Oryzias latipes: one gene and its partners. Each later gene encodes a partner of the first gene's protein in a complex. Links are inferred from orthologs where the notes say so. Each region holds a gene or a part of one and is shown in the gene's direction. Other genes may lie near its edges. The genes, in order: snrpe, gemin5, srrm1, prpf3, prpf6, snrnp200 and plrg1.

Evidence for each region.
Region 2: snrpe (region 1) and gemin5 share a complex: the UniProt entries of both Homo sapiens proteins name them as parts of the SMN-Sm complex. The link is inferred for Oryzias latipes from reciprocal best matches to the Homo sapiens genes SNRPE and GEMIN5.
Region 3: snrpe (region 1) and srrm1 share a complex: the UniProt entries of both Homo sapiens proteins name them as parts of the minor spliceosome. The link is inferred for Oryzias latipes from reciprocal best matches to the Homo sapiens genes SNRPE and SRRM1.
Region 4: snrpe (region 1) and prpf3 share a complex: the UniProt entries of both Homo sapiens proteins name them as parts of the U4/U6-U5 tri-snRNP complex. The link is inferred for Oryzias latipes from reciprocal best matches to the Homo sapiens genes SNRPE and PRPF3.
Region 5: snrpe (region 1) and prpf6 share a complex: the UniProt entries of both Homo sapiens proteins name them as parts of the U4/U6-U5 tri-snRNP complex. The link is inferred for Oryzias latipes from reciprocal best matches to the Homo sapiens genes SNRPE and PRPF6.
Region 6: snrpe (region 1) and snrnp200 share a complex: the UniProt entries of both Homo sapiens proteins name them as parts of the U4/U6-U5 tri-snRNP complex. The link is inferred for Oryzias latipes from reciprocal best matches to the Homo sapiens genes SNRPE and SNRNP200.
Region 7: snrpe (region 1) and plrg1 share a complex: the UniProt entries of both Homo sapiens proteins name them as parts of the minor spliceosome. The link is inferred for Oryzias latipes from reciprocal best matches to the Homo sapiens genes SNRPE and PLRG1.

Annotation. Positions count from the first base shown.
Region 1 is NC_019863.2:23,629,153-23,633,374, reverse strand, and holds snrpe (small nuclear ribonucleoprotein E), read left to right. Parts: upstream 1-1,321; 5' UTR 1,322-1,490; coding exon 1,491-1,544; intron 1,545-2,729; coding exon 2,730-2,756; intron 2,757-2,838; coding exon 2,839-2,901; intron 2,902-3,592; coding exon 3,593-3,671; intron 3,672-3,951; coding exon 3,952-4,007; 3' UTR 4,008-4,127; downstream 4,128-4,222. UniProt on the Homo sapiens protein: Plays a role in pre-mRNA splicing as a core component of the spliceosomal U1, U2, U4 and U5 small nuclear ribonucleoproteins (snRNPs), the building blocks of the spliceosome.
Region 2 is NC_019872.2:29,399,014-29,402,632, reverse strand, and holds part of gemin5 (gem-associated protein 5), read left to right. Parts: intron 1-61; coding exon 62-227; intron 228-616; coding exon 617-829; intron 830-1,261; coding exon 1,262-1,347; intron 1,348-2,146; coding exon 2,147-2,229; intron 2,230-2,425; coding exon 2,426-2,559; intron 2,560-3,619. UniProt on the Homo sapiens protein: The SMN complex catalyzes the assembly of small nuclear ribonucleoproteins (snRNPs), the building blocks of the spliceosome, and thereby plays an important role in the splicing of cellular pre-mRNAs.
Region 3 is NC_019880.2:16,877,948-16,881,566, forward strand, and holds part of srrm1 (serine/arginine repetitive matrix protein 1), read left to right. Parts: intron 1-551; coding exon 552-674; intron 675-920; exon of another isoform or gene 921-1,044; intron 1,045-3,619. UniProt on the Homo sapiens protein: Part of pre- and post-splicing multiprotein mRNP complexes. As a component of the minor spliceosome, involved in the splicing of U12-type introns in pre-mRNAs. Involved in numerous pre-mRNA processing events.
Region 4 is NC_019874.2:18,946,546-18,950,948, forward strand, and holds the start of prpf3 (U4/U6 small nuclear ribonucleoprotein Prp3), read left to right. Parts: upstream 1-1,592; 5' UTR 1,593-1,768; intron 1,769-2,151; 5' UTR 2,152-2,160; coding exon 2,161-2,305; intron 2,306-4,284; coding exon 4,285-4,403. UniProt on the Homo sapiens protein: Plays a role in pre-mRNA splicing as component of the U4/U6-U5 tri-snRNP complex that is involved in spliceosome assembly, and as component of the precatalytic spliceosome (spliceosome B complex).
Region 5 is NC_019865.2:15,463,940-15,467,558, reverse strand, and holds part of prpf6 (pre-mRNA-processing factor 6), read left to right. Parts: coding exon 1-10; intron 11-1,667; coding exon 1,668-1,796; intron 1,797-1,897; coding exon 1,898-1,992; intron 1,993-2,339; coding exon 2,340-2,496; intron 2,497-3,619. UniProt on the Homo sapiens protein: Involved in pre-mRNA splicing as component of the U4/U6-U5 tri-snRNP complex, one of the building blocks of the spliceosome.
Region 6 is NC_019867.2:18,369,239-18,372,857, reverse strand, and holds part of snrnp200 (U5 small nuclear ribonucleoprotein 200 kDa helicase), read left to right. Parts: intron 1-785; coding exon 786-892; intron 893-976; coding exon 977-1,095; intron 1,096-1,185; coding exon 1,186-1,340; intron 1,341-1,414; coding exon 1,415-1,604; intron 1,605-1,698; coding exon 1,699-1,872; intron 1,873-1,996; coding exon 1,997-2,157; intron 2,158-2,245; coding exon 2,246-2,473; intron 2,474-2,563; coding exon 2,564-2,755; intron 2,756-2,839; coding exon 2,840-3,018; intron 3,019-3,096; coding exon 3,097-3,248; intron 3,249-3,358; coding exon 3,359-3,467; intron 3,468-3,544; coding exon 3,545-3,619. UniProt on the Homo sapiens protein: Catalyzes the ATP-dependent unwinding of U4/U6 RNA duplices, an essential step in the assembly of a catalytically active spliceosome. Plays a role in pre-mRNA splicing as a core component of precatalytic, catalytic and postcatalytic spliceosomal complexes.
Region 7 is NC_019859.2:20,801,081-20,805,228, forward strand, and holds the start of plrg1 (pleiotropic regulator 1), read left to right. Parts: upstream 1-1,303; 5' UTR 1,304-1,452; coding exon 1,453-1,461; intron 1,462-1,643; coding exon 1,644-1,750; intron 1,751-2,049; coding exon 2,050-2,186; intron 2,187-2,281; coding exon 2,282-2,335; intron 2,336-2,422; coding exon 2,423-2,516; intron 2,517-2,611; coding exon 2,612-2,693; intron 2,694-2,777; coding exon 2,778-2,876; intron 2,877-2,982; coding exon 2,983-3,075; intron 3,076-3,265; coding exon 3,266-3,415; intron 3,416-3,563; coding exon 3,564-3,665; intron 3,666-4,148. UniProt on the Homo sapiens protein: Involved in pre-mRNA splicing as component of the spliceosome. Component of the PRP19-CDC5L complex that forms an integral part of the spliceosome and is required for activating pre-mRNA splicing.

The DNA of each region.
Region 1 (4,222 bases):
GGACACTCAGCATTAAGGGGTTGGATTGGGGGGGTTAAATCCACCAAAATGGTTCCCGAGTGCAGCTGTGTCTGCAGCTCACCGCTCCCCCAGGATGGGTCAAATGCGGAAACAAATTTCGCACACTTAGGTGTGTGAGAGAGAGTGGGGTTTAATTTAATTTAATTTAACACACATGTAATTAGAAAGTCACATACATGTTTTTATGTTTTATATTCTTAATTTAGCTCACAAAAATCTTAGGTGGGGAAAAAACACTCCTCAATGGAGCTCATGTTCCTGCTAAATTCATAGGTCTGCATCTGCAGGTGAAAATATATTTCACATTTAATCAAAAACAAAAGTTATGCGATAAATTCTAAACCTTTTTGAAGAAAGAACACTACTGAACAAGAAGAATCATTTGTACCTCTCACCTTCTTGACTAAATACTTTTATAGACAACTTCTTTAAATCGACTGCACTTTTTAACAATGTTTATTGTAGAACTCAGATTAGAACTTTAAGTTTATTTATAAGGAAAGTGAAGTGAAACCTTTTACTAATGTTCATCTTGGGCTCGAGTTGTTTCTTATGTTTTTGTTTTTCTCTGCTGCCCTCTTTTGGATAAAATAGGTCACTGCTGTGACAGTAGAACCTGGTCAAGATAAATGTTTAGGAAATAGTTTACAAAATTAAACTCTAATATTGAAAACAAAATTACTTGTAAGAAAATAATAATAATAAAAAGTTTGAACAATTATGGAAAAATTACAAAAATTATCAACAATTTTCACTTATTGAATTTGTGTTGCAAAAACAACTACAGTAATTACATATCTGTATGCTTGTTAATATTATGTGTAATAGGAAAATAAAAAAATAAAAATCTAAATGATAAATTAGACTATATACATCCAACAATTGAACATCTATGAAGTAAATGACGCTATATCCAAACTAGTTGATGTATCAATATTTAAACCTTCTTTTCTGCTATATGAAAGCTGTTCAAATATTATTGGTACTTGTGTTAATCACTGAAATTAATCCAAGCAAAAATAAACGATTACTGAAAATGTACAAGAAAAAAGTCGAAGCAAAACCTTTGTATTTTTCCCTTCAGGATTAAGAAATAAATATGTACTGAAACAGACGTTGACAAAAAATATGGTGACTCAAAAACAACTTAATTATTAAATTTAGCCTTTTAATTGGTACCAGATGTGTTTTCATACTTTTTATAAGTCATAATTAGTCTGCATATTTGAAGGATTTCACACTGAACGTAATTTTTGACCAAATATCAAATTGTGCAGTATTGACATCCTGCCTGTAGGTGGCGCTTGTTCGGTGAAGGGAAACCTTTCAGTGCAGGAACCGGATGCGGAAAGAAACCCGCCATTAAGGCAACTTGGCATCGTGAGCTGAACGTTGAAATCATTCAATTGTAAAAGGCAATATTTCTTTAACGAAATACTTCTTGCGTGTCTTTTTTGCGTGTGAAGAGAATGGCTTACCGAGGACAAGGACAGAAGGTGCAGAAGGTTATGGTGCAGCCCATTGTATCCTTTCTTTGCTGTTAGCATTTGTTAGCAGCGATGCTAATCGGTTATTTCTCGTGTTTGCTCATCGGTAAACTGTATTCCTTTTTTTTCTAGGTACTACATGACTTTCTAAATACATTGGAATGCATATTTACTGACTTTTTTTAATTTCAGTATTGAAGCACGTATTTTTCTGTTTATCGATCAAATTTAAGCACGACGTTGTACTTCGAAAGAAATTGAATTTGAAACAAACATTTTTAGCATTTTCTAAACGTACATAGCAATATGATGGGTTATCAATTTACTATTATACATTTTACAAAAATACGTTTGTTTAATTGGAAAGAAGAAAACAATGACACGTTTACCTTTGGCAGAGTTTTCTTTTAGTGAAAAAAGAAGTCAACAATCGAGATGTTGCACTTAACGACTTAAACTAATAATATTAGTTAAATGCACTACTTTGGTCTGATAATTAAATGTTCTTTTGATTTGTTGTAACAATTGGTCATATTTTGTAGTTTTTTATTTGGTTTTTAACTTAACTCAAGTTTGTCCCTGTGAGTGTGTGAGACCTGTTTTCTTATTTTTCTTGATTATGAAGTGACATGTCATCTATAAAAAAATAAAAAAGATGTTAAAGAAATTAAGAATACCATTAAAATTTGACTCGTAAAAAAACCCCTAACAAAGTCAATAAATAAGAGAAAATCTAATGCCAGAACCCGTTTTAAATCCATTTTTAAGCGTGTCTTCAGTTGTTTTGACATGGTTGCCCTACAGTTTACGTTATAACGTGGATACATCAGCAGAAGTTAAATAGTAAACTGTAAAACTCTAGAACAATTGCAGAATTTCTGTAAGCTGGTAAAAGGCATAACTAACGTTAAAAGACCGCCGATAATACTTCAAAAATAGATCAAAATGATCTGAGTGGGACTTTCGAGCAAATTCTGCGTCATCCATAGCTTTATTTCATCATTTCGGTCATGTAATTGGTTTGTGAAGTCCTTTTTCACTGGCTTACATTGAAATGTATGACATTCACTGGTATTTAACAGGATCTCAGCTCTCCGGTTAAAGTGCAAAACAGTTTGTGTCACTCTACTGAAATTGAAATGACTAGTTCATGTTATTTGAAATATCTTCTGTAACATTGAAACGGTTTAGACATGTCATTTCCTTGACTCTGTTCATCAGAACCTCATTTTCAGATACCTTCAGAACGTGAGTATTGAAGGCTCTTGCAGGTTCACCTTTTGTCTCGGTGGTGACTGAAATACTGATTCGTGTCATCTTTGCTTTGCAGCGCTCACGAATCCAGGTGTGGCTTTATGAGCAGGTGAACATGCGGATAGAAGGCTGCATCATTGTAAGATTTCTCTTTATTTTACTTTCACAGTGTTTGTTAACTTTCCAAATGTGTGCCACAGTTACTTTAAAACTGGTATAGACTGTAAAAACGATCGACGATTCCAGGTTTTCCTTCTCCGCTCCAAAAGGGGGAACAAGAGAAAGTTTGAGAACCACTGACCTAGCATTTTAGTTATTTTTTTTATTGGAGCTTGGTAAAAGTTCTTAATGGCTGGTGTTAGATCCACAATAATCAACTTAAAACTGTTTTGCAGAAATTTTTTCTACGACTATTTTGGGGCTCTGTTTTAGCTGCTTTTGCAGCGGGCACCTTTCTTACCAGTAGAGCAGAACTCTGCAGCTGATTTAAAAATGTATTTGAAAACGGCAACAAAAAAAACACACACTGGTTCAGACTCACAATACAGTAGGTAAATGATCAATGAGAACAGCATAATGACAAACTAAGCATGAATTAGGAGACCAATTGAAATTGCCGGTCCTACACTCTTGACACTTTAATCTATTTTCAGAACATTCTCGGTGATCTTTTAACTATGATTATGCTGTTTTTAGCCGAAATAAAAACAAACAACCTGTGCCGTTTTCTTGGGGGGGAAAAACCTTGAGAGCCTGAATTTAAATGAATCCAAACAGCTTCAGTTATGAAAGTAGTTAATTGATTATTTCCTTTTTATTTTATTTTCCAGGGCTTTGATGAGTACATGAACCTGGTTCTAGATGATGCTGAGGAGGTCCACATGAAGACCAAGAACAGAAAGCCACTGGGTAAGACTCTTTAGCTTGTTTAATTTGTTAAATTTCAGTTACTATTTTTTGATCTTAGCAGTTATTAGAACAGCTTTATTTATTTATTTTACAATGAAAAATTTGAATATTCTTTGTATTTATTAACATGTACTGTTAGCTTTTGTTTCTAGAACTGCTGTAACAAAATATTTGTTTGAGGAAAACATAGAAATATTTTTCCAGTCAGTATTTATTTGTTATACACTCAGGAATGTCAGTTTTTAAAATGTCAAGATAAATTTCTTTCCTTGTTTCACAGGTCGGGTTATGTTAAAGGGCGACAACATCACCTTGCTGCAGAGTGTCTCTACCTAGTGACACCAGTGACGACTGCAGATCCTGTCTTTTTTTTCTGTTAACTGCTTACGATTTTATGCATAAATGTGAGTTTCTCTACAACCTTTGAGAATAAATGGCTTTGTTTTTTTCCAGAAATGTTTTCTGTGTGTTTATCTAAAATTTAACTGTATTGTAATATCTGGGTCACGGCTCGTACTGCCATCTAGTGGCGCACAGCATTAGTACAACCG
Region 2 (3,619 bases), on another chromosome or scaffold:
ATCCGGCAGCGTCCCGCTCGGAGCTGCGACCGCACCTTCATGTTCCTCTGTGCTCCCCCAGCGGAGAGCTGCTGCTGTGGGACCTGACCAAAGGCGGGAAGCAGCGCTGGACGTTGTTCGGGTCCTCCTCAGAGGGTCAGAACCACAGCCGGATCGTCTTCAACACCAGCTCGCTGCGTCTGCAGGACGGAGGGGAGCTGCTCTTCAGCACCTCCATGGACCGGGAGGCGAGTCTTCTCCTGCTAAACACAAAAGATCTGATTTCAGAATCAGATCTTTTGGCTTCAAACTCAGAAATTTCTTCCATTTCGTTCAGATTTCTGCAGCTATTCTTCATTTTCAGTATGAAGTTGTCCGATTCTTGTGCTGCAGAGGTGAAGGCTGAAGGAAAACTGCTTTGTGATTCATGATAAAATCCTCCGAGCAGCTCCCAGATCTTGGCATGAAAGCGGATTTCTCCTGTTAGATCTGCAGTAATAATAGTTATGTGTGTTCATGACAGGAAGACGGATCCTTTAGTGGTTTTTATGAATGAATCCGTTTAGCGTTCCCTTCTTCAGGTGTTCTCCAGGGAAACCTGCAGGTCAGATCTGTGACTTTTGTTCTCCATCCTCAGATCAAATGTTGGGACCTGAAGACCCTCAGCTGCTGCTGGACCCTCTTCTCCCTGGGGGGCGTGGTGTACTCCCTGACCTTCTCCCCTGTGGGTGCAGGATGTTTGGCGGTGGGCGCGGGGGACAACATGATCCGGGTGTGGAACACTCTGAGCAGCCAGAACAAGTACGACATCCGGACCTTCTGGCAAGGCGTCAAGTCCAAAGTGACTGCGGTAAAGAGATTTCTGGAAGGCGGGGGTCCATGTTGGGGGGCTCTATTGGTGCTCAGACCTTTGAGGGGCTTTGAGGGAGAAAGCAGAGAACAACAGTGAAAAACTAGAATTATAAATCTGGATTTTATAACAAGTATAGATTTGATTATTAGATCTGCTTTTCCAGAGGCTCAGCGTTCTTCCAGAGTGTCCATCATTCAGTCAGACTTGGTGATGGTAGCTACTGATGTAACCTCAGCTGCCCTGGGGCAGACTGGTGGGGCATATACGGTTGACTGGGGGGAGCGGGGATCAAACCGCCGACCCTTTGTTAGAGTCAGAGGTTTGATGCTCCTGCTGCAGACGTGGAGGAGCGTTTGAACGTTTGAAGTGATGTCGTCTCTGGCGTCGGTTTGAGTCCATAAAGTGAGACTCCTGTGTTTGTCTCTGCAGCTGGCGTGGCACCCCCAGAAAGAGGGAACCCTGTCTTTTGGAACAGAAGACGGTAAAGTGGGAATCTACGAGGTCTTCTCCAGCAGGTACGGATGGCATCGATTCCTTCAGCTTTTCTGACACAGGTTTTCAGAAACATGGCTAACATTTGTCAGCCTCCTGAGCTCCTGCTGAAGGTCCCGCTCACATGGTCTGCACCTGTTCCTGGAGCTGGATGTTTTTACCCAGCAGTCTTTGCTCCCCCTGACCGGGACCTTCAGCAGAACACAGACAGAAGCATCTGAGCTTTCACAAATGGACCCCTGAATAGGATTGTGACGATCCAAACTCCTTTTGATGAGGATGAGGATGATGAGGATGATGATGATGATGAGGATGATGATGGAGGAGGAGGATGATGATGATGATGATGATGAGGATGATGGAGGAGGAGGATGATGATGATGATGATGATGAGGATGATGGAGGAGGAGGATGATGATGATGATGATGATGATGGAGGAGGAGGATGATGATGATGATGATGATGAGGATGATGATGGAGGAGGAGGTTGTTTCATGTCTTAGGGAGCTGACAAACCCAGTGTGAGGAAGGAAAACCGGCTTGAATGACCATTGAGGGCAGCAGTGTAGCTCAGGCGGTAGAGCAGGTCGTCCAACACCCAAAGGGTCGGTGGATCGATCCCCCCGAGCGCGGCCAGTCTGCAGCTCACTGCTCCCCCCAGGGGACGGGGCCAAATGTGGAGAAGAATTTTCCCATTGTGGGATAAATAAAGTATCAATTATTATTGGGATGGACTTGGAGCGATGAAGCTCGTCTGCTCCTGAACCTCCTGGAGTCATTTTCCCGCCATCTGACGGTTCTTCTTCTCCTCCTCCTCTCAGGCCTCCTCAGATATCCAGCTCCTACCACAGGAAGACTGTGTACACGCTGGCCTGGGGGCCCCCCGTGCCCCCGCTGTCCTTCGGTAAGTCTCTGTGGGACGTTCTGACGCCAAACAACGACCTTTCACCTCAGCTCAAAGACATTTTCTTTTTCCAGCTTAACGAATGAATCAGTTTATAAAAGGCCATAATCAATACTTAGAAATCACTGGGAAAGGGAGACTTTGTTTAGTCTCTCCGGCAGAGGTTCACACTGACCAAACCATGTGAACCGTTCAGGTACAGCGGGAAAGCAGAGCTTCGGCCTGTACAGCTGCGCAGGCGAAGGCGTGATTCTGCAGCACGACCCGGCAAAGCTGAGCAGCGAGGCAACGGACATCGACAGGCTCATCAAAGACACCAACGACATCAAGGTGGGACGATGGGGACCCGAGGAAAAGGAAAAGCAGCTTTTGTGGTCGTCGGGATGCTCTTAAAAGCACACTTGAGTAAAGACAGCCGCCTGGCAATGCTGAGGGGGCGGCTCTTGAAGGAAACTTCTCAGGCTGAGACTGGCGGCGAGTTTCTGCCGTTTCAGGCTGAGGCTGGCGGCGAGTTTCTGCCGTTTCAGGCTGAGACTGGCGGCGAGTTTCTGCCGTTTTAGGCTGAGACTGGCGGCGAGTTTCTGCCGTTTCAGGCTGAGACTGGCGGCGAGTTTCTGCCGTTTCAGGCTGAGACTGGCGGCGAGTTTCTGCCGTTTCAGGCTGAGGCTGGCGGCGAGTTTCTGCCGTTTCAGGCTGAGACTGGCGGCGAGTTTCTGCCGTTTCAGGCTGAGACTGGCGGCGAGTTTCTGCCGTTTCAGGCTGAGACTGGCGGCGAGTTTCTGCCGTTTCAGGCTGAGACTGGCGGCGAGTTTCTGCCGTTTCAGGCTGAGACTGGCGGCGAGTTTCTGCCGTTTCAGGCTGAGACTGGCGGCAAGTTTCTGCCGTTACAGGCTGAGAATGACGGCGAGTTTCTGCCGTTTCAGGCTGAGAATGGCGGCGAGTTTCAGGCTGAGACTGGCGGCGAGTTTCTGCCGTTTCAGGCTGAGAATGGCGGCGAGTTTCTGCCGTTTCAGGCTGAGACTGGCGGCGAGTTTCTGCCGTTTCAGGCTGAGACTGGCGGCGAGTTTCTGCCGTTTCAGGCTGAGACTGGCGGCGAGTTTCTGCCGTTTCAGGCTGAGACTGGCGGCGAGTTTCTGCCGTTTCAGGCTGAGACTGGCGGCGAGTTTCTGCCGTTTCAGGCTGAGACTGGCGGCGAGTTTCTGCCGTTTCAGGCTGAGACTGGCGGCGAGTTTCTGCCGTTACAGGCTGAGAATGGCGGCGAGTTTCTGCCGTTTCAGGCTGAGAATGGCGGCGAGTTTCTGCCGTTTCAGGCTGAGAATGGCGGCGAGTTTCTGCCGTTTCAGGCTGAGACTGGCGGCGAGTTTCTGCCGTTACAGGCTGAGAATGGCGG
Region 3 (3,619 bases), on another chromosome or scaffold:
GACAACTAGAATCGTGTACGTCTCTTGTCTTCGTCGTCTGAGCTGGCATCTGGCTCAAAACTGTACGACTGGATAGCTCCAATATTGCTCGGCATTTTGGTTGCACAACTAATGTTAGGTTGGGGTTGTGAGGGGCTGTAAGCTCGCAGCAAAGCACGCAGATGGATGACGGGAAGATGTGAGGGTTACTCAGCACCAACAGTCCCGTCCACAACATGGAAGCACATTTCAATGAACTAATACTATGAATTATGTACTAGAAAACAATAAGACTATTATTTATTATTATTAATGCATTAATTCTGGCTATAAACAACACAATCATAATGAAAAGACCACTGGAAACATGTTTACATAAGATAAAAAGATGATCAAAGTAGGACTTTAAATTCTATTCTAAGTCTTAAAATCAATGTGTAGAAATATGGGTCCAAAAATAATGAGTATATATACATGTTTCAAGTTTAAATGTTTATGTTGTTCTTTCTTTAACATGGACTGTTTTGTCTTTAGTCACTGGTTTACTTGACGATTTGTTTGGTTTCCCTCAGGTGGACATGACCAAAGTGAACCTAGAAGTCATCAAACCTTGGATTACTCAGCGTGTGACAGAGATTCTGGGATTTGAAGACGATGTGGTCATTGAGTTCATTTTCAACCAACTCGAGGAGAAGGTAATGTTTGAAATTGTCTCTCCTTTGTTTTGGTTTGTTACAGCTTTGATTATTTTTAGGGCAATTTGTAGCCAGTAAGAAGGGATGCAAGCAAGTAAATCATCCTAATAATACTCCTGAAAGTAAATGGGTAAAGAGACAAATTGGTGTAAAAGTGATTTATGACATTGACATGTTTTGCTGTTATTTGACAAAGTGCCTTTATTCAGCAGTTTTCTAATGATGATGTGATTTATGATTTAAAAGGCCTGAACCAATATGGATGTTAAACCTTGCATCAGAAGTATAGCACCAACATCTAATTAGCTCTCTCCTGAGCCCAAAGTCACAGAGCCCAACTCTCCCTTCATGATGCAGTTTGTGGTTTGAGGTGAGTTTTGGTTACAGGGATCACCTATTTCATGTCTGTGAAAGGCACAGCTGAAGATTTGAACAGTTGTATTCTCTGTAGGACTTTGCAGTTCATAATTGCTGAGATCCCATTAAAAATAGCTGGAGACTCAAACAAAAATAGAAGGCGTAAAGTTTGAAGCCTGTTTTCAACATTATCAGTCTTTATCTTTAACTGTATCCAGTGATGAAAGTCTTCCGGGAATTCCCGGAAATCCGGGTTTTTGAGCAAACCGAACGTACTTTCCGGGAAATAAAGACCTGATCTCTACGGACAAATCGCTTTCCGGATTAAAAAATGGTCTGAAATCAGCTAATTTTAGCTTTATTTTCTATATTTATCCGCAGATCGCTTCCTCTATGGTCGTGGCCATCTCTCGTCTTCCCGGCCTAATTGACCAATGACGGGACGTTTTAGTTGCTTTCGGATGCGTCGATGGGTCTGATTGGCTCTGTCTGCACCACGTGGTCAGCGTGACTTGCTTCCCTAGAGACCAAAACTGGCGGACCCACGCTAAACTTTCACAAACACATCTGAAGAGTTTGCGATCAAATTTGTGTTAAAATAATGGCAGGCATCGTCATTATTGAGCGTGGTCACGACCTCAGTTGTGAGAAGACGATAAAAAACAAATTGAAGTGGTCTTGGCTGGAAAAAAAAGATTTTTAAGGTAGTGTAGGTCAAATACTTTTTTGTGTAAAATAATCTCAAAACCACATTTTGAAATAATTTCAATTTTAGTTTTGAGTTTCAGTTTTTATTTTGAATACATTTCTTTATCTAATTTATTTGTATTTCCTAATTACCATGATTTAGTTCAGTATAGTTAACATTAATTATAAGTATTTGATGGTTTGGACCCGCACTCCCTTAAAAAATAATGTTTACAATGTTTTGTTTAGTTTGTATGTTTGTTTTGATATTTCCCAGATTACTTAGTATTGGTGTTAAAGAATTGATGTATTATGTTATAGAATTAAAGTTTAAAGCAGATCCCATATTTTGATGTAATTATAGTTTGAGAAAACAGTGCAAGTGGATGTTGTACATCAGTCATTTCTAAAGCAGAAATAATGTATAAATAACTGAGGTATTTTCATAGAATATCATAGTTACTGGTGTTCTTTTTGCCATTTGGGGCTTTGATGTTACTATATTTTAGCAATTGTATGTTTTGCAGCTTTAAGGAAAAGCATAGATTGTAGGATTGTGTTACTTTGAGCAATTTTCCAAATTCTTTTTTGGGACCAGCAAGTCCTTAATGGAGAGTCAAACTAGGGGTTTGAATGACAAATCATGATGCTCCAATTAGTCTTAGTTTCTTGATAAAGAAGTGAATAACTAGCTGCCAGAATGCACCAGAATACATCTAAGACCACGTATTTTTCCAAAATTTCGCTCTGTGCCCGCCATATCGCTCAAAGAAAAGTTCAGGGATTTTTTCCTTACCTGACTTTCATCACTGTGTATCAGACTGAAAAGTATTGTTTCACCACCATCTTGACTAAAAGTTTTATGTTATCGACTCTCCAGTTTAATGTAATATTGCTCCAATCTCCAAAAAGATGTGCAGCGCAAATATAACGTATCAGTTTAGGCATGTTTCTATTTTATTAACAGATGTAACTTGTAAAGACAACCTTAAATGTCTTATGTAGATTTAAAAAAAAAAGGCGGGGGGGGGATGTACCTGTGAAGACTGCCTTAAGATCCTCAAAAAAAGTCTTTAATGTTGACATTCATCTTGTTTCCTGTAACTGTTAGCTCTCTAGATCAGTGTTTTTCAACCTTTTTTGAGCCACGGCACACTTTAACCCATCCAAAAAAACAAAAGCAGAAATTCATGGTCTGTATTGATCGACAGCCCCCCCCCAGCTAAAGACGAGCTCTAGCTGGTATTTTTGTTAGAACTGAGCGACTTTATCAGCAGAATTAAGAACAAGGAAGTGAAGACTTTAACCACTTCTGATTGGTCAGACTGATGACATGTGATTAAGCCTTCAAGAATGATTGGCAGAGACAGTTAAAGGGACGGGACTTTTCCTTACACAGTTATAGCTGCAGCTAAATCGCGGTACCGTGATTCTTATCAAAATGTCTTTAATAGAATTAAATAAACACAAAGAAAAAGTAATTTTAAGATCTTTTATATTCCTAACTACTCAGTGTTTTATCAGGGCCTGTTTGGATGAACAAAGAGTTTATTTCCTGGAGATGGAAAACATTTTTAGATCAGTTAATGAGGGCAATTTCTCCACGGCGCACTTGACCATCTCCCACGGCACACTAGTGTGCCGCGGCACACTGGTTGAAAAACACTGCTCTAGACCAACAAACATGAGTTATTTTGGTGCATGGCAGGTGAGCTACAAGATGCAATACTTTTCAGTTATTATGTTTCAACAATTTGCATTGATGTAAAAATACATTAAAAAAATCAAACTAAACATACGCAAGTTTAAAATTAGCCCAACTGCATGTGATTTTAAAGACAGACCTTTGTTTAAAGGCAAAAACAGCATTGTAATTTGCAATTTTTAACCAAATCGTAGTG
Region 4 (4,403 bases), on another chromosome or scaffold:
GATGTCAGTTAAAGGACATACCTGAGTTCATCATGACTCCCTGGGCAATTAGTTCTCAGTCTTTCATGGAGGTACCATCATTTTTGTCCAGCCCTATTTCATTAGGTTTTTTTTTTTAATAATTCTGTCAATCAACAACTCAGAAGTAATGGCTGATTTTGATTATTTAATTTTCAATTAATTTGAATTTATAATTTTATTGTTACTTTTGAACGTTTAAAGTCATTTCAGTGAGCCTTGTGGACTTTCTTTCTTTAACTGAGGGATACCAACAGTTTTGTCCACCACTATTTTAAAGGTTCATTGGGACAATTATTTTAATGTATTACATTTTTCTAGTAAGTGTAAATAGCTTTGCAGAGCATTTTTACAAAAGAAATTGCAATTTGTTAGCACTGACATGGATTATTATACAGAGAAGAGCCACTGTGTGGTAGCCTCAGGCTCACCACTGCTCATTCAGGCTCGCTCTACTACAAATGCACTCAGTTGACCCACATCACGCAAACCAATAGACACCCAGGGGCGGATCTGGAGTGGAGTGGGAAGGAAAGCACTTGATAAGCCAAAGATTTTTTTTTTTGGGGGGGGGGGGCTTTTTTTTGTAAGTTGACCGAGTATCTAAGTGCAGTGCTTGAGTAATGTTTAACTTAAGACTGAACTTAAGGGTTATGCGTAGCCTAAGCAGAAAATTGTGATTTACCATTCAAAGAAACTTTTCACTTCATGAACAAAAAGATGATGCCACTACATTTTGGAACTGCAATTAAATTTGCCCATGTCTTAAAATGCAAAAATCTCCTATATTGTGGTATTACAGTTTTCTCTTACGTTTGGTTAGATTTTGTTAGCAGTGGTTTAAAAAATGTTTGTGTTTATCTGTGGTAACACAACTACATTTTACTAGGACAGAAATTAAAATGCAAATACTTGCATTGCTCATTTGTATAAATAATAGTTATAATTTTCATAACACACATGCAGAAGAACACTCACAATGCATAATAAACATTGTTTTTATCACTGAAATTACTATTGTAAAATATATTATAAAATGTGCAGTATAAAGTACCTTAAAAAGGTATTCTGCTTACTAAATGCAAGCTACTTATTGAATAGGCTAACGTTTCTCAAGTTTAATTGAAACAAAAAAAGAATATAAAAAAAAAGAAACAAAAAAAAGAATATCAAAAAAAAGAAAGAATATCATGCAATCTGATTGTTTAAGTTTCACTTTGGACTATTTCCTATAAAATATGCCTTATTTAATCAAAAAATGTATGGAAGAAAATATTTGCACATAATTTAACTTTGGCCAGCTAGGCAAATACATTTTCAATCCCTTAACAAGACTTTACAGACAAAACAATTCCTTTGTGTTGTCAGCTGTCAGGTGAATTTCCTTGACTTGCTGAATTTTTGCTAATATTTAATGAACACTTTTAAATATATTATAGAAGCGGTTTTGACTTTTATTTTTTAAAGTGCCTTTATGAAAGCGCATAAACAACTGCAAGAGAAATGACATAGATGGCGAAAATCAAACAAAGCACGGTAAAAAGACTGAGAAGGATAAGTCGAGAAGAAGAATTTACGTCATTTCCTCTTCCGGGTCTCGTGGAAGAAACGTTACATGTACGGAGCGGCTAATCAGAAAGTTTGAAAGAAATGTTCAGGCTTTAGAGATTTGTACCCTTGAAATTAGATTCTTTTTGTGGGTAATTTAGAGTATATCTAAAGTAAAGAGGATTGTAGACAAAACTGAGAGGTTTGTATCCACCTTTAAGCCGCTATTAGCAGATTTCGGTAGCTCCCAAATGTAGCAATATGCTAACGTGTGCTAGCAGCGGTCGATGAGTTTTGGCGCAAGTAGCTAGTAGAGTTTAGCTTGTTTGCTATTTTGGTTAGTCTGGTTATTGATATGTTTTGATATGAAGCAACATTTTGTTAACTTAACTTTCATTTTTTATGACAAAAGGCAAACTTGTCCTCAAATGTGTTCGACATTTTTGACACGCAGGAGGGTCTCTCTGTGTCATGGCTTGTGATTAATAATGCCACTTGTGTAGCTCTCACTCATCAACTTTGTCAACAATAGGACTCCTGTTCCAACAAGAACTAAAAAAGACATCTGCGTGCTGTGTTTTGAAGGGCAGAAGGATGTCTCTTCCCAAGCGGGAGGTGGAGGAGTTGAGACCGTGGGTGGAGCGCACTGTGAAGAAGGTGTTGGGGTTTTCAGAGCCCACGGTGGTCACTGCAGCTTTACACTGTGTGGGGAAAGGATTGGACAAAAGGAAGACCACGGGTAAATTCCATGCTCATTTGCATGAAGAAAGAAGTTTTCAATCATTAGTAATTAATTCTGTTGTGGTTATTTTCATTTTTTTGTTCTGTTTTATTCCATCTTTGATGACACAGTTACTTGTGCATTTCTGAATTTAAGCGTCTCTTATTCATCTTGTTTTGAGGTTGCACATTAAGATAGTCTTATAATATAAAGCAAAAACAAACTCGTAAAAAATTTTAAGAGATTCTTTTGTTTGTCAAATGTTTGGTGCTTTTAGCTTTCCCGTAAACATTTGCTTATGATTACAGTCACTAATGGTCTTAGTCTAATAGTGTTTTTCAACCGTTGTGCCGTGTGATATTACCCATTTTCACTGATCTAAAAACATTTACCAAATCTAGGATATCAGCTCTGTGTTCATCCAAACAGGCCCCAAGAAAGCACTAAGTAGTTGGGAATATGAAAGATCGTAAAATACTTTTTTCTTTGTGTTTATTTGATTCTATTAAAGACATTTTGATAAGGCTGCACGTTGGCACAGTGGTTAGCACTCTTGCCTCACAGCAAGAAGGCCCCCAGTTCAAGTCCCAGCTGGGGGAACCAGAACATCAATGGGGGACCTATCTGTGTGGAGTTTGCATGTTCTCCCCGTACATGCGTGGGTTCTCTCCGGGGCCTCCGGCTTCCTCCCACAGCGACCTCCCACCTGTCCGTTCATACAACTCTAAATTGTCCCTAGGTGTGACTGTGAGAGTGCATGGGTGTGTGACCTGCGACAGACTGGCAACCTGTCCAGGGTGTCCCCTGCCTTCGCCCACAAGTGATGGGCTCCGGCAGCCCGTGATCCCGAAAGGGACAAAACGGAAGAAGATCATGAATGAACGAATGGCGGTACCGCGAGTTAGCCGCAGCTTCAGCTCTGTTTTTGGAAAAGTCCCACCCCTTTAACCCCTCCACCAATCATTCTTGGAGGTTTAATCCTGCGTCAACAGTCTGACCTCTCAGAAGTGGTTAAAGTCATCACTTCCTTGTTCTGATTTAGCTTTTTCCACTACATTTCCCATGATGCATTGGGTTAACGTGACAGCGTCTCAGCGGACGAGTCTTCCCTGTTAAACGTCTTGAAACCACAACAAACACACATCAGTTTTTAAATCTTCTTTATTAAATCAAAGGTCAACAGTTTAGTTTTCTTCAAGGTTTGTGTTTTTTTAATAACATCCAAACATCCCAGAGTTTGGTCCAAGTCATCTTTATTAATGAAACATTTTTCTTATAAGGTCTGTAAGAAATAGGATAATGTTGAAGTGGCCGAGAGACACAATCAAACAGAATTGAAACAATTTAATAATCTAAAAAGAAATAAAACATTTCTGTTAAAGTTTTCAAAGAATTAATCTTTGATTAAGACAAGAGAAAAACTAATAAAACTTCAACATGTTCACTTTTGATGTAGCTACAGAAAACATAAATATGTTAGTTTTGGTGTGTAAAACTTAACAATCATATTGTGATCATATAACTGTTCAAAAATTACAGTTGCCTTTGCACCAACATTGAAAAAAAATTGTAAAAAGTATATTATTTAGAAAGAATGTATTTGTTTTTTTGTGAGGTTACATGAAATTGCATGTTAATAAACTGGAGGGGAAAAAACATCTACCAGGGTAAATTTTCAATTAATTTATTTGAAAGTTATTACGGAAAACTAACTTAACTTTTATTACATCTTTTAGAAAAAACTGCTGCAACTTCCAGCTTTTTTGCCACAATTATCACAAAAATGTCTGTGATTGCGGAGGGACTGTAAATCAATACAGACTATAGAGTTTCTCCTTTTTTTTATTTTTGGATGCTTGTGTGCCGCAGGAATTTTGTCAAGGATAAAGTGTGCCTTGGCTCAAAAGAGGTTGAAAAACACTGGTCTTATATTAAGAAATGATTATCAACGAACTGTTGAATACATTGTTAATCATTTGACTCTTAATTGTCCTCAGACCAGTTGCGTCCCTTCCTCGAAGACTCAGCTGGTGGATTTGTTGAACGTCTTTTTGAAGCTCTTGAGGAAAGTAGAAGCAGCCGTGGCAGCAAAGGATCTGGAGAAAAGAACCGGAAG
Region 5 (3,619 bases), on another chromosome or scaffold:
TTTGCAAGGAGTCAGTAAATACGCGCACACGCACAAGATCCAACTAGAAGCACTGAAAACCATGCATCATGCTGCAGTCCCAGTTTAGTCCAGCAGGGGTCAGGAAACTTCACCTAAAACAGTCTTAGCAACTGCCAAATGTTTATGATACTGCTACTTTGTAGCTTCTGTACAGCAGCCGTGAGCTGATGGGTATTTGGACAGTAACAAGATGGAATTAGTTTATTGGTTTTAGTGCTTTATAACTGCAGTCCTGAATTCAGGCTGTGGAACTGTGGCCCTCCTTTGGCTTGTTCTTCTCTTATTATTCATTCTTATTCTTTCGTGCGTTTTTTTGTCCGTTCATATCTTCTGCATATTTTATCTGATTTCTGCCATTCAAGTATCAAAATGTCCTGCAAATTGAGGACATTATTGCTATCTTCTGCGATTTCTGCTACAACTTATGGTTTTTCTGCAATTCAACAAAATTGCTGCAAAATGTTGCCATAGAAGTACATAGGGGAAGGCTCTTCAGCAACTTCAAACTTACTGCAAAGCTAACTTCTGCATACTTTATGCCGTTCAAAAAATTCAAACATGCATTTGTTCTGCTCTTTTGTAGACTTTTCTGCTGTCTTTAAACCATTTTGGTAACATTTAAAGTTTTTCAAAATTTTAAGTTGTTTGAATTTCAAATATAATGGAAGTCAATGGAGACAGTGCTTCAACTTCTCTGTTTTTGAAATGCATCTCCTCCTATAATTTCTCAACAATTATTTTAATCTGACGTATAGTTGAGACACAGCATCATTTTGTTTGGGACATCTGTCCATCTCAGACTCTGTAGCGTTTGTGCCTACGTAGATGACATATACAGCTGCGAGCAGTCCTGGAATTTGAACCCGTTGCCATGGAGACAGCACTCTCTTTCAGACACGCACAGACACACTGAGACGGGCTTTGCAAAAGTTCAGGGGACCTTTGACACTTTCAATGACACATAGATGTTTTTTTATTCAAAGTTTCAAACACAAATCCCCGTGTTTGGAATAAATTCTGTTTGTATGAACAGCTTTAACTAGCATAGCATTAAACCTTTATATTAACATCATGCTAGCTGTAGGTGCAAATGTAGACATTCCTTTACATTTTTGTTATGTAACCATTACATCTACATTGTGCTGGCTCACTTATGTTAGATCATTTAATTTGACATCTATCAAGGGTTTTCAAGCTAATTTGGCATTTAGCTAAAAATTTTACAGGTTTTTTTGCAATGTGAATTAATTGCAGCATTATAATGGTGATGTCTTCTGCAGCTTGGCAATCCGAAAACCTCTGCAGATTTTACGCAAACAGCTTCAGCAATTTATCCAGCCTTTTTCTTTTCAATACATTTCAGCTTCCTCTGCTAAAAGTTATGCGATTAAGCCAATAAAAGCAACCACCTTTTGCAATTAGTCAGTTAATCGTATATACCCAGGAAATGCAACTTTTCTAGTTATTCTTGGCACATTTTTTGTCATTTTCAGTTCACAGCATAGAAAAGCAGTTTCACACATTTACAGTTTGTTCACATTATATATTCTATCTTGTTACACTTGTGAGGGAACTGTAATTGGAAACCGAATTCCCTGGAACAATAATGCTCCTTCTCTTCTAACATTATTTCCTGTCTGCACTAGCTGGGGGGCCTGAACACACCTTACCCTGGGAGCATGACCCCTGGTCTGATGACACCTGGAACAGGAGAACTGGATATGAGGAAAATTGGTCAGGCCAGGAACACTCTCATGGATATGAGGCTCAGTCAGGTATGCTTTTTGTGTAATTCAGTATGACTTCCTCTTTAATCTGCTTGTGTTCTGCAGTGATATGGATAATTGTTCTGTTGCGTTTGACTTTTGCTGTGCAGGTGTCAGATTCTGTGAGCGGGCAGACAGTCGTGGACCCTAAAGGATACCTCACAGATCTGAACTCCATGATCCCAACTTATGGAGGAGACATCAGGTAACGACAGCGCGGCCGTAACTTCTTTTCTTTTATACGCGTTTGTGATCCCACCATCAGATGTTTCCACTTCCTTGCATAACAGATAAGATTTTCTATGCATTAACCAAAAAAAGCATCGGATAAACCTTTTGTGTGAAAGAAAGTGGGAAAGATTAAATCAAAGCGCTATCTAAAGCTGTGCATTTTTCTAATTTTTATTTTTATTTTATTTGGTAAGTGCGAACTGTAAAGTTGGGGAGATAGCTTCTAAATTTGCATCTCAATGAGTAAGAGGTTCCCGGGAATGTGGGAAGTTGTTGAGATTGTCTGTTTTTGATCATTTGTATCTAACTCTTTGGGTGCAGTGACATCAAGAAGGCTCGCTTGCTGCTGAAATCAGTGAGGGAGACCAACCCCCATCATCCACCTGCTTGGATTGCTTCGGCCAGGCTGGAAGAGGTCACTGGTAAACTTCAGGTGGCGAGGAACCTGATAATGAAAGGCACAGAAATGTGCCCAAAGGTAAATTTGAGGTTATTGCAGGCTTGATCGAAGGGGTGTGACAATCACAGCATCACCGCATCGGTGATGACCGCATCACAGCACGTTTTTTTCTTCTGCATATGGTGTGTGATTGGAACTAATAAACACATTAAACACATTCATCTTTGCTGATAATTTACTTTTTCTGCTAGTCCCGTGTTCAGACTTCAGGGGCTTCTGGGGGAAACCTTTTATTACTGTTCTCCTTCACTCCCTGCGCGGCTCTCACTCCCTCTTGCGCCCCACACGCTCCCTCTCCTTACACACACGTGCGCGGTTTCAGCAGCACATACAAATCCTCATTGTACAACAGAAATTCCGTCTCGCGAGGAAATGCGACAAATTTACTGCGTTCTAATTATTCATTTCCATTACAAGTTGCGTGGGTGGTGGTGTTTATTACTGTTCTCCTTCACTCCGTAACACCAAACACGAACGGGCTCTGTTAGATTTCGATGAATATCACTACATGTTTTGTTTGGGAATTATTTCGTGCAGCGCAAAGTTACGTGTCTGTATAAACAAAGGCGGAGCCTCCCGCCACGTGTTCTTCATGGGTGTCAGGCTTCATGGCTACCGGAAAGGTGACAAAGTGTCTGCAGTCTGTTTATTACTGGGCAATATATAATATTCTGAGAAGATGTCTGTACCAGAGAGCACAGGTGAAGCCTTGCTTGCAGCTCCAGAGCGGTCCGCTGCAGAAGAATTAACACACTTGTGTGCTCCTTCCTCCTACATACGCAGCGTGCTGACACACATACACATAGTCATTCTACAACACCTATATAGTTAGTTCATTAGGTGGATAGGTAGTAGTTAGTGGTTACTGTTATTTGTTAATAAAGAATACTGCGTTGTAATTGTATTCATTTGCAACGCAGCCGCGGGGGTATTTTGTGTTTGGCCGGGGGGGGGTTAACCGCCACACCGCCCCCGCTGCTGGTTCATCACCGCGGTGATCAAAAATCCCACACCGTCACAGCTCTACTTGATCGTCTGTAAAATGTTTTATTTTTGAATGAAAATATTTCACTTTATTGTGGTATCTATAAATGCAAACCGAACTTTCTAGCATTTCAGTTTTCCTGTTCATTTATGAAAG
Region 6 (3,619 bases), on another chromosome or scaffold:
CATGCGCAGAACTATGTAAAATACCGGATATGACCATAAAAGAAGAAATGGCGAGTTCTTTTAAGATCTTTTAAGCGTGCTCTTATTATTGTTATTATTATTAAGTGCCTGATGCTCATAATTTTCTAAATATGTGCAGCCAGTGCTTTATTCTTGGCTGCATGTACCCAGAAGAAGGGTTAGGATTAGGTTAATACGTGCTAACAACATTTGGCCGTGGATGCAGTTAAAATCCTTTTGGTCAATGCTGCAATGTGCATCTTGGCTGCACATAGGTATGTGGGCATAACGTCAGCCTTTATTTTGACTGGACATGATTGAAAACACAAATTCACTTAATTATTTGCGCGGTTTCTCAGGACTGCTCAGTGCAGTGCATTTCCGCATTCAATAGCTGCCTCCGCCATCTCACACACCGTTCTGAAGCTGCTCCTCTGCTTGGAGACACGAAGCTACGAGTCCGGCTGCTCTGCTCACAGATGTGGCTCGCTCGCGCGGAGCAGCCTCTGGAGCACCACACCGTGTGTGCATGACATAAAAGCCAAAGCCGTAGTGACCCAGGATCGACAAAAACTGTTTATATGCACCACGATCGGATCAACATTCGACATAACACGCCTACCTCGATCAGAAGGACATTTTGATCCAAATGAGTCTGTTCAAAGTGTTTACTTGACGCATTTTTATTCTGATCAGGCGTTTATTCCGATTACTTTTGTCTATGTAACTGCAGCTATTGTTGCACATTAGTTTGCCTGAAGAATAATGCGGTTCTCTTTCTTCAGAGTGCTGGACGGTTGATGCGCGCCATATTTGAGATCGTGCTAAACCGAGGCTGGGCTCAGCTCACAGATAAGACCATGAACCTGTGCAAGATGATCGACAAGAGAATGCAAGTGTCTTTTATGTTACTAAAGAAATACATTTTCTATCTTGAAGCTGGATTCTCATGCTTTATGTTCTGATTTTCCTACAGGTGGCAGTCGATGTCTCCTTTGCGTCAGTTCAAAAAGCTGCCAGAGGAAGTGGTCAAGAAGATTGAGAAGAAAAACTTCCCTTTTGAGCGTCTGTACGATCTCAACCACAATGAGATTGGTGAGTTTCTCGCTTCATGAAGCATTTTCATTCTATGCTGTCCTTTGCCTGCAGGACACTGAAAAAGCTGTTGTCTTCCTCTTTGTGTAGGCGAACTGATTCGAATGCCAAAGATGGGGAAGACCATTCACAAATACGTCCATCAGTTCCCAAGACTGGACCTCGCCGTTCATCTCCAGCCCATCACTCGCTCCACTCTGAAAGTGGAGCTCACCATCACGCCTGACTTCCAGTGGGACGATAAGGTCTGTGGCTGTAACTCGGGGACGTTTCCCTTCTGAAAAGCTTTTCCTGTTTCTAAGCTTCCCTTTCTGCTTAGATTCACGGATCATCTGAAGCTTTCTGGATCCTGGTGGAGGACGTTGACAGTGAAGTGATCCTCCACCACGAGTACTTCCTCCTTAAAGCCAAGTACGCCCAGGACGAACATCTGGTGACGTTCTTTGTCCCCGTGTTTGAGCCTCTGCCTCCTCAGTATTTCATCCGCATGGTTTCAGACCGATGGCTCTGTAAGTAGCTCAAAGAGAACTGCAATGCAGAATTCCTCTGCTCTCCACTGTACAACTTCGCCTGACACCTTTCTCGTTTCTGTTTTTCTCTCAGCCTGTGAGACTCAGCTCCCAGTGTCCTTCCGCCACCTCATCTTGCCAGAGAAGTACCCCCCACCCACTGAGCTGCTGGACCTGCAGCCGCTGCCCGTCACTGCTCTCAGGAACTCTGCCTTTGAAGCTCTCTACCAGAACAAGTTTCCGTTCTTCAATCCAATTCAGACACAAGGTATTTGGAAAAACGAAACCCAGACAAAAAGATGGAATATCCCATTTTCAGACTGATCTGTTTGACTCAAACCAGAGCTCTGTATTCACATCTTTTTCTTTTCTTACTCCTTTCTCCAAATCAGTCTTCAATGCCGTGTACAACAGTGACGATAATGTGTTTGTGGGAGCTCCCACTGGGAGTGGAAAGACCATCTGTGCGGAGTTTGCCATTCTCAGAATGCTGCTGCACAACACAGAAGGCCGCTGTGTGTATATCACTCCCATGGAAGCACTGGCTGAGCAGGTACAATGTCATGGAAGAACTCTGTGAAGCCCACATCCATTTGGAGAATCGGACCGCTTGTAGCTTCATGATGGCTTCTCTCTTTCAGGTCTTTGTTGACTGGCATCAGAAGTTCCAGGACATCCTGAACAAGAAGGTGGTGCTCCTAACTGGGGAGACCAGCACCGATCTGAAGCTTTTGGGGAAAGGGGACATCATCATCAGCACCCCAGACAAATGGGACATCTTGTCTCGTCGCTGGAAACAGAGAAAGAATGTGCAGAACGTCAGCCTTTTCATTGTGGATGAAGCACACCTTATTGGTGGAGAAAATGGAGTAAGAAGTGTTTTAGTCTCTGTAAACAGCAGGTGTTTGCATCACTGTATGTAGATTGTCTAATCGATGGGACTTTGGTTGTGTTTTTAGCCGGTGTTGGAGGTTATCTGCTCCAGAATGAGGTACATCTCCTCACAAATCGAGCGTCCCATCCGCATCGTCGCCCTCAGCTCGTCTCTGTCCAATGCCAAAGACATGGCTCACTGGCTGGGCTGCAGCACCACGGCCACCTTTAATTTCCACCCAAATGTCAGACCTGTGCCTCTGGAGCTGCACATTCAGGTTCATTAACATGTCTACCTGTAAATGATCAAAGCCACAAATACAGGATCCTTTTGTTAACATGGACCTTCTCTGTTCCTGCAGGGTTTCAACGTCAGTCATACTCAGACACGGCTGCTTTCCATGGCCAAGCCAGTCTATCATGCCATCATGAAGCACTCCCCATCCAAGCCGGCGGTGGTGTTCGTACCGTCACGCCGACAGACCCGCCTCACTGCCATTGACATCCTCACTTTCTGCGCCGCCGACGTGGTTCCTCAGAGGTTGGTCACCAGATGTGACTCCACTCTCTGGGTTTGGAATCAAATCTTTACACAAAGGTGAAACCTGTTTCTTTGAAGGTTCTTGCATTGCACCGAGAAAGACCTGGTACCATTCCTGGAGAAAATAAATGATCCCACTCTGAAAGAGACTCTGGCCAATGGTGTGGGATATCTGCATGAAGGCCTGTCAGCAACTGAACGCAAAATAGTGGAACAGCTGTTCAACTCGGGTATGATTCATTCCTGGACTTCATTGTTGATACGAGAAGAATTTTTCATCAACATGCAAAGCATTAGAAAAATAAATTTCTGAATGATTGATGGTAATTCTTTCATCCAGGTGCTGTCCAGGTGGTTGTTTCTTCTCGTTCTCTCTGCTGGGGAATTAGCATCTCTGCACATTTGGTCATTGTCATGGACACCCAGTACTACAATGGAAAAATCCATGCGTAAGGATCAGGCTGTCCCAACCTCTATAGCGGCTCAGAAATATATTTTCAATCATTTTTGTTTTGTTTTCTTTCAGATATGTGGATTATCCCATTTATGACGTTCTCCAGATGGTGGGCAAAGCAAACAGACCCATGCTGGATGATGAAGG
Region 7 (4,148 bases), on another chromosome or scaffold:
ATATTCAGTTTGACACCAAAAAGAGTCAAATCAAGAGGCCCTATGAACACAGAACGCTTAAAGTTCCACTCTGATCGTCTTTTGATCTATTAGAAAAGCGTTCCCTGTGCTTTTTAATTGTGCCACTTTTTGGCACAAATTGAAAAACGTATCGTTTTCTAAGACATAGTTTCTGCAGTGCAACAGTAAGTCATTAGAAAATCACCTCTGAGTTGTGGGCAGGACTGTTGGTGTGGAGCAATCCTGCCCCCCTTCCCCAAAGCACAGAGCAGGAAGCTTCTGACCCACCTAGGGTATTTTCTGCATATCAAATGCAACCTTTTTCAAACAGTATTTTTTTATCTGCTCCTGATTTACATTTGAATAAAGAAATACTCCGAAATGCAATTTGCAGCTAAATTTTCTTTATAAATGTCCTCCATCATGAGAAAAATGGCTGAAGAACATGTTAAAAACACAGAAAACACAATTTTCAGGTCTTTGATGAAAATCAACTGTGCTGTGAACCACTGAAATCAAAGGCAGGAGGTAGAAAATGAAATTACAAGCATAGATAAGGACAGCAAGAACTGAAGAAAAACCTGAAAATGTATCTTCAGAGCACTAATAATACATTGACAACCAAGAAATAACTGGAATCCAATTATATAAGATTAGATGATTGTACTATTTTCAGGCTGCTTTGGTTGTTGCAGGAATTTATCCAAATCAAATTTTCCTTTGAAATATTTACTGTAAATTATTTCATCTCTTAATAAATGAGTTCATTGCTTTTTTTGTGAAACCTTTTTATTAAAACAATATTTAATAAATAATAAAATTGGTTTAAAAGGGAAATTTAACAGCAAAAGATTAATAAACTAAAACAAATCAAACCAACTTGTGGATAAAATCAACAATTGTGAACTTCTAAATAGAGCAGACTCAGTAGTGTCCAGCCTACATGTATGAGAGGCTGGAAGAATGGTCATTAGCAAAGGGGAATAAGTAATTCCCAGACACTAGTTCTTTTTCACATCAAAAACAAAATGTTTTATTTTTTATTATTATTTTTTTATATGAACCCTTAATTTATTTCTGCACCAAATGTGTAAACGGCACAGAACTGTTTAAATTTGCCTTTTTACTGAATAATTAAAAAAAATGTTGAAACCCCCTAAAATATGTATATGTATTTCAAAACGTCCCGGAGAAATTGCGAAAAATGGGGGCTTGATAATAGAAAAACATAATCTCCGCCACTGTGAGACGCTGGGATGAGACGTACCGCCAGAGGGCGCTCATAAAATAAATCTTTTAGCCTTTCAGGCTGTTGTACTTCCGGGTCATGCAGACTCGTTTGTCGCGGCGGTGGACTGTTTTTGTCGCTTTGCTACACCTACGGTGTTCGTGGATTATATTCACCGAAAACTACTTAACTGCAGTGTGATATCAATCTTTATTATCGCCACAATGACCGAGGTGAGACTTTATTTGAGTTATTTGATTTTCTTTGGTCCACGCTTTAGACTCACACAGCACTGGACCCGTCTAACTACTGGATGTTAACGTTCTGAATCTTCACACGTTGTAGTGTATCCCCCCTGATAAATCACATGGACTCGTCTTTCAAGTAAACTTTTTTTTCCTTCTAATTGTTACAGGAAGTCCAGAAACACTCAGTCCACACTTTGGTCTTCAGATCCTTGAAAAGGACTCATGACATGTTCGTGGCTGACCATGCTAAAGCCGTCGCTTTAGATGATGAAAGGTATACTGAGCTTTTACATTTATGACTTCTGTATTTAAAATGTGTATCATCACTTTAGTTAAAACTCACGGTCATGCTAATCGTGCGTTCATAATATGTTTATTAGTTTATTATGCAATAGTTCACATCAAAAGGGTTACTTTAACCTTTTAGGCATGCATTGGGAGAAAATATATTTTTTCATGTTTTGATTATAAACATCTTTGGCACTTGGAGATGGTTTGTCTATATGTTTCCACTTCACGTGGGCACACGGGTGGGTTTGCGTTGAAGCTCCTCTTTTTTTTTTTCGTTTTAAGCCACAAGTTGAAGTTGGCCGTGAAGCTAAAGGCAGACTACAGTCCTGTGTTACACATGCCAGTGCTAAAAGAAGGAAAGGACAGGATGTCACAGTATCCAGACGGTCTCCACGACAACGAAGCTTACATGCAGCCGGGTGAGTGGGAAGCATCACCGTTCAGTGTTTTTGGTTTTAAATTGTAAAAATCTGACTTTTTTTTCTTGTTTGTCTTTGGTTTCCGACAACTTCAGCAGATGATCCTGAATATCTGATCACGGGAACGCACGCTTATCCCTCTGGACCTGGTAAATACTTTCCTTTTAGCCAAGCTTAAAGGAACTTTATTCATTTTTTTAGCCAGCTTTTTATTATCTATGTCTTTAACCCAACAGGAGTCGCCCTGACAGCTGACACAAAAGTGCACAGAAACCCCAGTGAGTCAGGAATCCACTCCTTGGCTCTGGCTTTACCACCATCACAAGCAAGGTAATCCTGTTCAGTCAATCAATACAAATAGTACTGAATCAACTTTTCGGGATTCATTGATATATCTATTTTTTGTCTTCTGATGGCTGTTTTAGACAAGAGTCCAGCCGCACTGCAGCCACAGTTGCAGAGATCCGTCGTGGAGCAGAAAGAGCTCACGCTCAGTCCACCGCTCTGGTACATCACAAGCTTCTTAAGCGCTTTTTTTTCTCACCCAGTCTTGGTTGACAAAATTCTAACGCAACAATCTGTTCGTTGCAGCTGCTCTTGGAAGGAGGCGGCACCAGAAATTCCAACCTCTTGAGGAGAACGCCGGTCATGCCCAAACCGCAGTGGCATCCTCCCTGGAAACTCTTTAGAGTAACTGCAAATTATCCTTGAACTCCTTTTCAGTTGTGTCAAATCCGGTGACGGAGGGGAAGCAACATCTCACGTGATTACTAAAAAGGTTTTTGTCACCTGACAGGTCATCAGCGGCCACCTGGGCTGGGTCAGGTCCATCGCTGTGGAGCCTGGAAATCAGTGGTTTGTGACAGGATCTGCAGATAGAACAATAAAGGTTATCTCTTCTCTATTTTTTATTTTATTTATACAATACGTTGTTCTGATTGTTTTTATACTGTTTTTACACTACAAAGCTTTTTTTCTTCTCCTTTTTGCATTTGTTGAGGTGGAACAGCAAAAAAAAAAAGAACCAGGAGTGTTTTGTTACAGGGAAAGGATATCATGAGACTTGCTTTTTCCTTCAGATCTGGGACCTGGCCAGTGGGAAGCTGAAACTGTCTCTGACTGGACACATCAGTACAGTGCGTGGAGTGGCGGTGAGCAGCCGCAGTCCGTACCTTTTCTCCTGCGGAGAGGATAAGCAAGTCAAATGCTGGGATCTAGAGTACAACAAGGTACAAGCTTCTCTTCACAATATCTCTAAAAAAAAACATTTTAGGGCTGTTTGAATATAAACAAAGACAAAAAGTTCAGTCATTTCTTTCTTTTTCTTCATACGTCAGAGTTTTGGTGTTTTAGTGACATGAGTATTTTGTGTTTTAGGTAATCCGGCACTATCATGGCCACCTCAGTGCTGTGTATGATTTGGACCTTCATCCAACTATTGATGTCTTGATGACGTGCAGCAGAGATGCCACAGCGAGGGTAAGATCGGAATCCACTCATTACTCTTTATATATGTCACACATGGAAGAAAAATCCTACATGACAGACAAGAAGTGACAAAGCTCAGATCTTTAAATAAATAAATACAGATGTATTAAAAATAATCCTGCTCAAATGTCTAGAGCTGCAGAAAAAAATTGTTTTTGTTTTATCATAGGAACCATAGTTGGGGTTTTTGGAGAAAGCAAAACACTTTTGAGTTCTTTTGTGTATGAACAAATGTAAACGCCCCTGTAAACAAAAGTTCAATTTAAGGACACTGATCCAAAAAAGAAAAACATTCCTCGTTTATCCAAAATACACCATGAGGGTCTGAAATCGTGGCAAAAACAAGGAAGTCAGACTATAATTGTTAGAATTAGGAATTCTACAATTAGTCCCTGGAAAGGAAATTTCTTTTTTTTAATGCCAATATTTTTAAAGAATGATATTTGCTGTGCATTTATCGAAAATGCAACTTTT